Nothobranchius furzeri: one gene and its partners. The protein of the gene in region 2 purifies or fractionates together with the protein of the main gene of each other region. This does not show direct contact. Links are inferred from orthologs where the notes say so. Each region holds a gene or a part of one and is shown on either strand. Other genes may lie near its edges. The genes, in order: ireb2, ciao2a and narfl.

Region 1 (3,653 bases), on a different chromosome or scaffold from region 2:
GTGAGAACACACACTGCAGGCCGTGGTTCTCTCTTAGCTTGCTGGAATTCGCCCTGCTCGGTGAGGATGCTTTCGCCCAGAAACCATGGCCCAGGCTCCTTCTTTACGCATCCTCCCGGTTCTGCTGATTCAACGCCTCCTGGTACGAGTCAGGCAGGAACAACTATTGTTTATTCTGGTGGCTCCTCACTGCAGCTGCTGGTGAAAGCACGCCTGTGGTGCCTGCGTTGGAGGTAGGATGCACTCCTGCAGGCAGGTGGAACCATCAGACACCCACCGATCTTGGATCAGCATTTGTGGGTCTGACCACCGAACGGCCACGTTTAGTGTGTCTCAGTCTGTCACTCGATGTGGTCCAGAGCAGGCGTTCCGCACATGTGGCTGTTTCCTCCTGTCATCAGGGATATGGGGATAGATCTGTCTGTAGCCATCCCCTCACCAAACACTTCTTAAAGGGCGTTCAAAGGCTCAGACCTGCTCCTGCATCTCTGACTCCACAATGGGTTTTGGCTGTGGTTCTGCTTGGGTATTCTCAGGCTCCCTTTCAGCCTTTGGGCCAAGTTCCACAGAATTTTTTTGTCCCTTAAGGTTGCAATTTTGCTGGCTCTGATGTCATTCAAGAGAGTGAGTGACCTGACTGCTCTTTCTGTCTCGCCCTCTTGCCTCAGGATCAGGGATGATGAGGGTTCAGCTGTTCTGTGCCCCAACCTTGCGTTCATCCCCAATAGCATCATCAGCTCTTTCAGGTCCAGACCCATTTCTCTGGCGGGGTTTTTTTCCTCCTCCTCATGAGTCAGAGAAAGATGCTGCGTCACACCTGCTGCATTTGCTCACACAGATAGATTGTTTCTCTGTGGCAGCCTCTGTCATCTCAGCGTCTTACATAATGACAGTGTGACATCATCACGATCGCCTATGCGTCCTCTGGTCTGGATGCTTCCGACAGTTTAAAGGCACATTCCACATGGGCGATTTCTTCTTCTGTAGCAAGGTTTTGCTACAAGCATCTTGCTTACTTTCCACCACATTCATCATCTGTCATCCTGTACAACCATCATCTCATTCATACTTTGTCTTGTCTACCCCTCCCCCACTCTACTTCCCACTCTGTGTTCACTTCCCTCTAGGATTGGTTATGCTGCCTCACTGCTACCTAGGATTGACTGAATAGTGTTGTTGTTGTTAGCCTCAGGTGATAATGAAGCTGCTGCTTCATTATCACCTGTAAGTCGCTTTGGCCAAAACCGTCTGCTACATACACAAACATGTCTATAGCAGACATATGCATGGCTTGCTTTATGGTCATCACCATCTTCCTTTGTGAGGTTTTACCTCAGAGGTGTGTCCACCAGCCTAGCTGCTAATGTGGTGCTGGCTCACAGTTCTGCCTGTTCACAACTGTTGCTGAGGTTTGGATACAGAAACTGCCATTTCGTTTCTTACCCTTATGTTCATATGCACCCGCACTTCCATGTTCTGACCATGTTTCACATGGTGTTGTTCTTGATGATGACAACCTCCACATTCCTGCCTGTTGCTAGGCAACCTTTAGGGTTGATTCTCATCAGCTGTATGCTACATCATCGTGTTCTCCAGCTGCTCGCACATATTTGCGCCTGCTGGCAGCTGTGGAGACTTGTTTGGGCAGAAGCCTCAGAGTCCGCTCAGGTTTGGTTCTTAACCAGTGTGGCGTTGACTACATCGGGCTCCGCCTTTAATCGAATAAGTGATGGCTTAAAGGGCGGAGCTATACTCATAGAATCTGGGGTTACAATACATAACCCACTTTCTTCGACGGAGAAATGGTCTCTTTATTTTATTATTCTTTTTCTGTATACACTAATGTGGGAGGGGCTTAGGCTCCCCCCCCCCCCCCCCCCCCCGACTCGACTCTGGATGAGCATCTGAAAACGGATGGATGGATGATTATTATTATTATTATTATCAGCGAATATCATTTAAGCATCCAACCAATTTAGGATTCTTTATGGTTTCAGTGTTTTCAGCAGCAGAGCCTGCTTCGTGCTTTGTCACGTTTCTGAAATGAGACAAACTAGGCTAATTATGTTATTTATTTATCTTTCATCAATGATTTATTTAGTTTTTAATGCTCAAGTTTACTTTTAAATATAATTAAATAACATTTTAAAAAGCAATGGTGTGTGAAATGACATCTGCTCACTAAAACCCTAACCCTAACCAACAACCCATCACCTGATGTCCTCTCTATGTCCCCGCCCTCACAGCTGAGGACCAGGCTAAACACCTTTTACCCCCTTCACCTGTTTTCATGTCTGTGAGCTACGCTGAAACAAGTCTGTTTGAACTTCGACAGTTCTTCTAGGTGAATAAATGCTGGTATCTGATTGGTGTGATCTCAGGGGCAGGGGGCGAGAGGCGGGCTTTAGAGACGAGCAGCGCTATAGAGAGTAGGTGTGGCCTTCTGTCTGTTTTTGTTTACTAATCTGGCTTAAAGACATAAGAAGGGAGGTGGCATCCTTCTTTGGTTTCATAAAATGAAGCTGGAAGTCCTCTAGCAGCCGCACCGAGGACTTGAAGGGTTCTGGCTCTAGAACTGTTTATATCTTCTCTGCAGAGCACCCATTCCACCATCTAATCGACACCCTTAAAGATGGCAGGATCAAGTTCTTCAATCCACAAAAATTAAACGATCCAAGATATGGTGAGTTTTGGCCCTCCCACTGGAGATGTGCCTGTTTGATGAGGAGTCAGCGTTGTTGTATGTTTATGAATGATGCAACTTGCACTGATTTCATGTGAAAACATGCAGATGTGAGCAGGGTGGTGACATGGACAGTGAGCAGCTCAACACATACCTTTGATCTTGTCCCTTAGACAAACTTCCTTTTTCTATCCGCGTCCTACTGGAGGCAGCCATTCGTAACTGTGATGGTTTTTACACAAAAATGGAAGATGTGCAGAAGATCCTTGCCTGGCAGGAGCAACAGGATAAAGCTGAGGTGCCATTCTCACCTGCACGAGTCATTCTGCAGGATTTCACGTGAGTTTGTTTGATTTTAGGTCAAAACCTTAAATTAAAGAATTATGAAGCTCATAACCAAGTGAGTGGGTTTCCCTGGTTTACCTAACTCCATGAAGAAGGCTGATTTTCTGTTTTGATGTTTTCTTCTGACAGAGGGATTCCTGCTATGGTGGACCTGGCCGCCATGAGGGACGCTGTAGCCAAACACGGTGTGGACCCCGCTCTAATCAACCCTAAGTGTCCCACGGACCTGATAGTAGACCACTCTTTCCAGATTGATTTTAGTAAATGGTCTGTGTCTTAGATGGTCGGTTTCAAGAACTTTGAGTAAATGGGGTAATAGAAGTTTATTCTTTAATGTAAGTTTTATCTCCAGTGCCATACAGAACACTCCCAATCCTGGCGGAGGGGACGGTCCCACCCAGAACCAGGCCTCCTCTCGCTCCACTGCCTCCAGGCCTTTCATCAGAGGGGACTTCCAGTGTGGAGACCGGAGAGGCTCTTGTAGTAAAGCTGCCTGCAGTGACTCGCCCACATCTTTGGGTCCATCTCCAGCCTCTGTCCAGCAGATAGAAAATACTCCTCTCCTCTGTCCTTTCCACCTCCAACCCATCTCTGAGTGAGTGATGGTGATGATGATGATAATGAT
Region 2 (3,653 bases):
CTTCTTTTATTTGGGGTCTGTATGAGATGGGACACACATCTCATCTGCCCATTATTTTATCCATCAACACACTGCATCCCATAAATGTAGAGATCAAGTGATGCTACAGTGACACATGCAGCCAATCCAAATCAGCTTTTTGAAGAGTGGTACACAAACTAAAACCTGGCTGGTATCATTTTGTACTTGATAGTTAAAAGCTCATTACAGCTCGTGTGACCTGTATGAAATATTACTGTGGAGGTATAATCAGTGTTTGTGTGTGCACTCAGAGAAAATATATGTTGACATTAATGTTATATTGTTTTATATGGTTAAGAGTGATGTTAATGGGTGTGTGTGAGATAGTTATTTCTAAGATCATTGTATCAGTTTTATTGTTCTTGTCTGAGAAGCACTTAAAAGTGCTTAATAAATAAACCTAAGATGTGTGCAAAATAACGTTTTATCTGTAGGAAGCACTGCTGAAACACTTACTCTGATTCAAATACACAGGAGACAGGATTATATTCAAACCTGATTATTTTATTCTGAGTTTATTTGCATTTCATTTCTGTTTATAAAACCCCATCCTAAACATCCAGACTCTGAAATCAAATTAGAGGTAATCACCTGAGGAATTACAAAAGATCTAATAGGAGTCAATGCAATGAAAAACAGCCATTTTTATTCTGTTCTGATTAAACATGAATGGTGAACAGCAGGAATGATGGAGAGAAAGTTGAGAGATAAAAGTAGAGCAGGAGGTGTGTTCTCTTCTTCCTTTATTCACCTTCTTCTGGAACACCAGGCTGTTCACCAGCAACAACTGGTGCTGCTGTCTTTAAAGGCTGGACTTGATTCCAGCATCCAACCTCCTCCATGTGTTCACTCATGCACACGCACTTAAAAAAGTTATTGATGTAGCATTGGGCCCTTCAGTCATCAGGTTCAGTGACACACTGCTCCACAATCTCTCTCAGGTTGGGGTTTTCCATGGCGGCTGCCACCCGCTCCTTATCGTTGATCTGTTTATTAACTGGAGAAATTAATCATTTTCACCACTCAGAACATGAGACTAGTGAAAAAGCACCAAAAAATCAGTAACACAAACAAACTGCTGAATCAGCTGGGCTAGCAGAGTTAAAAAACAAAGTTGTTTTCAAGGAGCCAGCAAGGCGGGAGGGGGCGTGGCTGTGGGGCAGCCTGAGAGGGGAAGTGGTGGTAGCAGCAAAACTCTAATACATGTGTTTGAAACCAATGCGGAGTCATGAATTTATTGTTTTGTTTTATATATAACATATAATATATATATATATATACATATCTACATATATATGTACATTTATATGTACATTTATATATATATGTGTGTATATGTATATACATTTATATATATGTATATATATATATACATATCTACATATATAAATATGTATGTATATGTATATACATATATATATACACATATACATACAGTTGTGGTCAGAAGTTTACATACACTTGTAAAAAATATAATATAATGGCTCTACTGAGTGTCCCGTTATTTCTAAAACTCTGATTTTTCTCTGATAGAGTGATTGGAACAGATACTTCTTTGTCACAAAAAACATTCATGAAGTTTGGTTCTTTAATGTCTTTATTATGGGTTAACAGAGAAAAGTGATCACATTTGCTGGGTCACAAATATACATACAGCAGTGCTAATATTTGGTTACATGTCTCTTAGCCATTTTCACTTCAATTAGGCGCTTTTGGTAGCCATCCACAAGCTTCTGGCAAGCTTCTGGTTGAATCTTTGACCACTCCTCTTGACAGAATTGGTGAAGTTCAGTTAAATTTGATGGCTTTCTGACATGGACTTGTTTCTTCAGCACTGTCCACATGTTTTCAATGGGGTTTAAGTCAGGACTTTGGGAAGGCCATTCTAAAACCCTTATTCTAGCCTGATTTAGCCATTCCTTTACCACTTTTGATGTGTGTTTGGGGTCATTGTCCTGTTGGAACACCCAACTGCGCCCAAGACCCAACCTTCGTGCTGATGATTTTAGGTTATGTTGAAGAATGTGATGGTAATCCTCCTTCTTCATTATCCCATTTACTCTCTGTAAAGCACCAGTTCCATTGGCAGCAAAACAGCCCCACAGCATAATATTCCCACCACCATGCTTGACTGTAGGCATTGTGTTCTTGGGGTTAAAGGCCTCACCTTTTCTCCTCCAAACATATTGCTGGGCATTGTGGCCAAAAAGCTCGATTTTTGTTTCGTCTGACCACAGAACTTTCCTCCAGAAGGTCTTACCTTTGTCCATGTGATCAGCAGCAAACTTCAGTCGAGCCTTAAGGTGCCGCTTTTGGAGCAAGGGCTTCCTTCTTGCACGGCAGCCTCTCAGTCCATGGAGATGCAAAACACGTTTGACTGTGGACAATGACACCTGTGTTCCAGCAGCTTCTAATTCTTGGCAGATCTGCTTTTTGGTGATTCTTGGTTCACTCTTTACCCTCCTGACCAATTTTCTCTCAGCAGCAGGTGATAGCTTGCGTTTTCTTCCTGATCTTGGCAGTGATGAAACAGTGCCATGCACCTTATACTTACAAACAATTGTTTGCACTGTTGCTCTTGGGACCTGCAGCTGCTTTGAAATGGCCCCAAGTGACTTTCCTGACTTGTTCAAGTCAATAATTCGCTTTTTCAGATCCATGCTGAGCTCCTTTGAATTTCCCATTGTAGCGTTTGTGGGCGTTTGTATCCAATGAGCCCTATTTACCTGGCCTAAGAGAAGTCACCAGCTGTAGTCACTCATAATCACTCACAAGAAGTTAAGAGGCCATGCTATGAAGCTCAGTTCACTGACACGTTTCTGTCACCAAAATTGCTAGTTCATGTTGCTGTATGTATATTTGTGACCCAGCAAATGTGATCACTTTTCTCTGTTAACCCATAATAAAGACATTAAAGAACCAAACATCATGAATGTTTTTTGTGACAAAGAAGTATCTGTTCCAATCACTCCATCAGAGAAAAATCAGTTTTAGAAATAACGGGACACTCAGTAGAGCCATTATATTATATTTTTTACAAGTGTATGTAAACTTCTGACCACAACTGTATATATATATATATATATATATATATATATATATATATATATATATATATATATATATATATATATATATATATATATACATGTATATATATAGTTTTCCTCTCCACTGTCGCTTTATGTTTGCTTAGTATGAGGATTGCTGTATAGTCACTGACACTAGTCAGTGACTTGATGCAATTTGCTGGGTTCCTTATATACGAAACATTATTTCTCATAGGCTTAAAGAACTGACCTGAATTGGAATGCTTATTATGTGAAGTGCCTTGAGACGACTCTTATCGTGATATATATATATATGTATATATATATATATATATATATATATATATATATATATGTATATATATATATATATATATATATATATATGAATATGTGTATATATATGTATATACATATATACATATATACATACATATACATATATATATACACATATTCACCGTATATGTATATACATATACCGTAAATCCTCTAATACAGGCCCGGGCCTGTATTTGACTCAAGCATACCGTATATGTATATACATATACCGTAAATCCTCTAATACAGGCCCGGGCCTGT
Region 3 (4,439 bases), on a different chromosome or scaffold from region 2:
GCTATGTTTTTGCTGTACACCTGGACATGCAGACGTCAGCATGGGAACGGCCTTGCTGTCCTGCTCCTTCCGATGGAAACGCTCCACAAACTCCCTCTGACTCTCCAACAGACTGAAGGTCCGACTGAAGCTGGTGTCAAACACGCAATGAACCCCTGCCAAAAGCACCCCCAGGAATAATCTTCAGATTATCTGCTTAGGTGTTGCATGATATAAAAACAGAAAAGGTCCACACCCAGGTTTTTGAGGTAAGCTGTGAGCCTCCTGCCTGCCTCACTGCTGCTGAGGTTGTAGTGAGCTGCCAGGGAGGCTCTGGACTGAGGCGACACCGACACAACTACAATCTTCTTTTCTGCTTCGTTAATCTAAATAATCACAACACTTATTGTATTAAGGTTAGACGGAATGCAAAACTTGCAAAACAAAAATGAACAAGCTCAGAGACACACGTCTACCTTGTTGTTGCGCAGCACTTTTAAAAGCTCCTCGTGGCTCTGCTGAGTGATGAGGACACTCTCAGCCGAGGTGATACAGCCACTGCAGGCCAGACAGTCGTTCAGTGTGATCTTGGCCTTCTCCAGCTTCTGCTTCCCACCATCCTGTAAACACAGGGTGTGTTCATTCAAACTTGGTTTAATAATTCTCAAACTGATTAAAGACTGAGCAAGGATACCCACCTGGTTGACCTGCACATAGCTGCCGTCATCTTCTATTTGGATTTTGGCCACAGATTTACCCTGTTTCTTCTCTACTTTGACTGGTTTAACACATTCCTGGAAAACACACCAATGTGTAAACCGCTATTGTAAATGAGATCAATCATCACATCCAAAAGCATCTGAGAAATATGACTAAGCACTATTGCATGGGGAGAATAATCTGAAAAACTGTAAAATTTACACAAAATTATCTGTTTTCATAAGAAAAAACAAAACATTACTGATTCATTTGGGTCTAAGAAAAATTTCATTACTTCATACTGAGAGTGTCCTCAATTTTTCAATTGTTTAATAAAAACAAAGGGAACCCCAAGGTGCTGTTTAACACCATCAGCAGCATTGTCTCTCCTGCCTCTCCTACAGCCTCCATCCACTCTGTTGCAGACTGTGAGAACTTTCTGTCTTTCTTTGTGGACAAAGTCAATAAGGTTAGATCTAGCATCTCTCCTTCAGCCTTACCGCTGCCTCTCCCGACTCCAACCAGGCCCATCATCCTAGATAGCTTTGCTCCTGTTTCTTTGCCTGAGTTAACCAAACTAGTTAACTCTATGAAGACCTCTGCATGCCCCCTCGTCATCTTACCCTCATCTTTGTTTAAAATTGCTTTTCAGTCCATCGGTCCCAGCGTGCGCTCTATAAATAATGCTTCTCTGGTTTCTGGTCAGGTCCCTGCTTACTTTAAGAATGCTGTAATCCATCCGCTTCTTAAAAAACCGAGTCTTGACCCCTCTCTCCATAGCAGCTTCAGACCCATCTCTAAACTTCCGTTCATCTCCAAGATCTTGGAAAAGGTTGTGGCTAAACAATTCACAGCTGCTCTTGATGAACATAACATCTATGATAGCTTTCAGTCAGGTTTTCGTAGAGCTCATTCTACTGAAACAGCTCTTCTTAGGGTCTCTAATGACCTTCTGACTCACAGTGATGCAGGGGACTGTTCTGTCCTGGTCCTGCTGGACCTGACTGCAGCCTTTGACACTGTTGACCATCACCTGCTACTGGAGAGGCTGAGAGACTGGGTCGGCCTATCAGGATCTGCTCTGGAGTGGTTCTCCTCTTATCTTTCTGAGCGCTCCTTTTCTGTGGCCGTCTCCAAGTTTAGGTCCTCCACCACCTCTCTTACCCATGGTGTCCCACAAGGTTCTGTGCTGGGGCCTCTGCTCTTCCTCCTCTATCTGCTCCCTCTTCAGCACATCCTGTGGCCCCCAGACTCTGGAACTCTCTCCCCCTGAGTCTGAGATCAGTGGACTCAGTGGTCTCATTTAAAAAGCAGCTGAAAACACACTTGTTCAAGCTGGCTTTGGTATGACCTTCTTCACCACTCTCTCTTTATTCTGCTCTCCCCACCTATTCCACCTTCCTCAGGATCCACTGATTTCCCTCTTTCCTACTCACTCTCTCTCTCTCTTTCTTAACATTTTGTTTTTTAATCACTAGTGTCTATTTCTTGCACATTTTAAATATATTTTTAACCATTTTCTAAATTCGTTTTTATATTTTTACATGTTTTGTTTTTGTGAAGCGCCTCCTGATTTTTATCTTGAGAGGCACTATAGAAATATTTTCTTCTTCTTCTAAAGAACTAGCTAAAATATAGTTTGTCTTTATTTGCCTATAACTGACATTTAGTGTGTTTAAAAATGTCTGAATATGTCAGCCAATACGATTGATTTAATTTAGTCTTTGAAAGTGTTTTATTTCAGTGATTTAATTTGTCTTTACACAGGTTACGGCATGGACTAGTGACGTAATTACGCCATAGTTTTAAAAAAGTAAAACTTTACAACTTGTTACAAATCAAAAAGTAATCATCGACTCGTGATGAGCTTCAGCCAATACTCAATGTTCCTATATTTTATGAGAAGTTTCTCTCTACGAAAAGCCTAATCGTGTGCTAGCTGCTACATCGCCATAATTAATCCGTCAATTGTTCCCTAAATGTCACGACCGGTGAATTGTTCATAATTACTGTTTCACCCACTTGTAATTAATCCAATACACGACTTAATTTCACATTATTTCAGTGACCGACCTGAGAAGGAGTGATAAAATCATCGAGATCTGTTAGCTGCAAGACTCCGCTGAAGTGGGAAGCCATGTTTACTACCGTAAAGTTGTTGTTTACTCTTGTGTCGTGAATACTGGGTTACAAGCTGTACAGTCTATGGTTACAAGACAGGCGTGATCAAACTAAATACCTCTTATCATATGTTAAATTATCATTCATTTTGGTCAAATGACAAACTATCAAATTTTTAATAATAAGTACCAAAAAAATGTATATTTAACTTTCTCTGTAACAATGGAACAAATTAAATGTAAATATCAGAGATGTAAAAATGTTTATTTTTTGTTTGTTTGTTTGTTTTTAACATTTGCCCAAATAACACTTGTTAGTTGTAGGACTGGACATGAAGACGTCCATAAGTAATATTTCATTTTATTCCTACAACAAATAGCATTACTTTTCTCTGTTGCTCATTCTAAATATAAAAAGTGCCTGTAGCTGAATGAAAAACAATAATTTATTTGTAGAGAAACATTTGGCCAAAATCATAGCCTATGAAAGCAACGCAGCAGAGTGAATCCTGTCTATTTTACTGAAGAAAAAATTAAGGTGACTAAAACGAAATCAGAAATGTTTAATTTCACTTTATTAGCTGTGAGAGAATCATGCACGCGCCCTTTTGTTGTTATGACTACGGGGTCGTAATCCGCCATGTTTTCCCTCCCCGCTGCAGCGTTGCGACAGAGACGGAGAATTCAAACGACATGAATGTGGAAAATAATCATACGGCAGAAACAGAGAAGAACGGCAACGAGACCATTACTATTCAGACCACACTAGGAGATGAAGGTTTGTCACCTGGCTGTATCAAACAAGCCGAATTTGTTTATCATTTAACGCGTTTGGGCTACGCTAACTTTCACCGAGGTGATGTCTAGCTAACAGCTAACTGACACGAGCAGCATAGTTTCGTATTTTTAGGTGGAAGTACACACTGTTTGGGGTGAATCAGACACGAATACATTAAACAGTAATCAGTTTGTGGCACTAATTATGATATTGGTTCATGCTGGTTGGGTCCGTTTCTGTGCTACTAGATGATGTGCACAAATGTGGTCGCTGCCAGTCCGAGTTCTCCACCCTTGAGGCTTTCATCCAGCACAAACTGCAGCACGGCTGCAAACGTGTGGAGGCTCAGAATGCTAGTCAGGATGGCGGCCAAAAGGTAGGAGCTATCTGGGTGGGGCTGTGTGGATAAATCAGTCTAAACGGCATCAAGAGAAGTAGCATTGGTGTCCTCATATATGCAGGTCACTGCTGAAAATGGAAGTTCTTCCTCAGAGGTGAAAAGGGCAGAAGCAGATAAACCAGTAGTGATCTCTGATGGTGGGTCAGTTTTATCATCCCTTATTGCACCTTTAAATGAATGATTGCAGAGTTTATCGGTTGGTCATTTATTTCTAGTCGTGTTTTTAGTCTGCAGATTTAATTGTAGGTGTGTACTTGATGTGTTGCTGGACTGATGTTTTGTCTCTTTTGATCCAGATGAAATCAGTGGCCAGTTGGGTCGAGGCCACAGGAAGAAAGTGGCCTCACTGAAAGTGCAGTCTGATCCAAGTGTAAAATTAGCATCTCGCAATGCTGACAGTGACACTCTGTCCCACAGTGTCAATCAGGAAGGACGTTATATTTGTCCCATTTGTCAAAAGACA

Evidence for each region.
Region 1: the proteins of ciao2a (region 2) and ireb2 purify together in Homo sapiens (affinity purification with mass spectrometry; 3 studies listed by BioGRID and IntAct, with this or other methods). This does not show direct contact. The link is inferred for Nothobranchius furzeri from reciprocal best matches to the Homo sapiens genes CIAO2A and IREB2.
Region 3: the proteins of ciao2a (region 2) and narfl purify together in Homo sapiens (affinity purification with mass spectrometry; 4 studies listed by BioGRID and IntAct, with this or other methods). This does not show direct contact. The link is inferred for Nothobranchius furzeri from reciprocal best matches to the Homo sapiens genes CIAO2A and CIAO3.

What each region holds. Positions count from the first base shown.
Region 1 is NC_091754.1:45,150,548-45,154,200, forward strand, and holds part of ireb2 (iron-responsive element-binding protein 2), read left to right. Parts: intron 1-2,596; coding exon 2,597-2,683; intron 2,684-2,856; coding exon 2,857-3,022; intron 3,023-3,157; coding exon 3,158-3,295; intron 3,296-3,380; coding exon 3,381-3,623; intron 3,624-3,653. UniProt on the Homo sapiens protein: RNA-binding protein that binds to iron-responsive elements (IRES), which are stem-loop structures found in the 5'-UTR of ferritin, and delta aminolevulinic acid synthase mRNAs, and in the 3'-UTR of transferrin receptor mRNA.
Region 2 is NC_091744.1:55,351,687-55,355,339, reverse strand, and holds the end of ciao2a (cytosolic iron-sulfur assembly component 2A), read right to left. Parts: intron 1,019-3,653; coding exon 918-1,018; 3' UTR 505-917; downstream 1-504. UniProt on the Homo sapiens protein: Component of the cytosolic iron-sulfur protein assembly (CIA) complex, a multiprotein complex that mediates the incorporation of iron-sulfur cluster into extramitochondrial Fe/S proteins.
Region 3 is NC_091752.1:55,723,503-55,727,941, forward strand, and holds the start of narfl (cytosolic Fe-S cluster assembly factor narfl), read right to left. Parts: upstream 2,866-4,439; 5' UTR 2,818-2,865; coding exon 2,752-2,817; intron 774-2,751; coding exon 678-773; intron 600-677; coding exon 456-599; intron 366-455; coding exon 236-365; intron 156-235; coding exon 21-155; intron 1-20. Other genes in the region: transcription factor E4F1, read left to right, coding at 3,393-3,576, 3,825-3,952, 4,038-4,113, 4,273-4,439.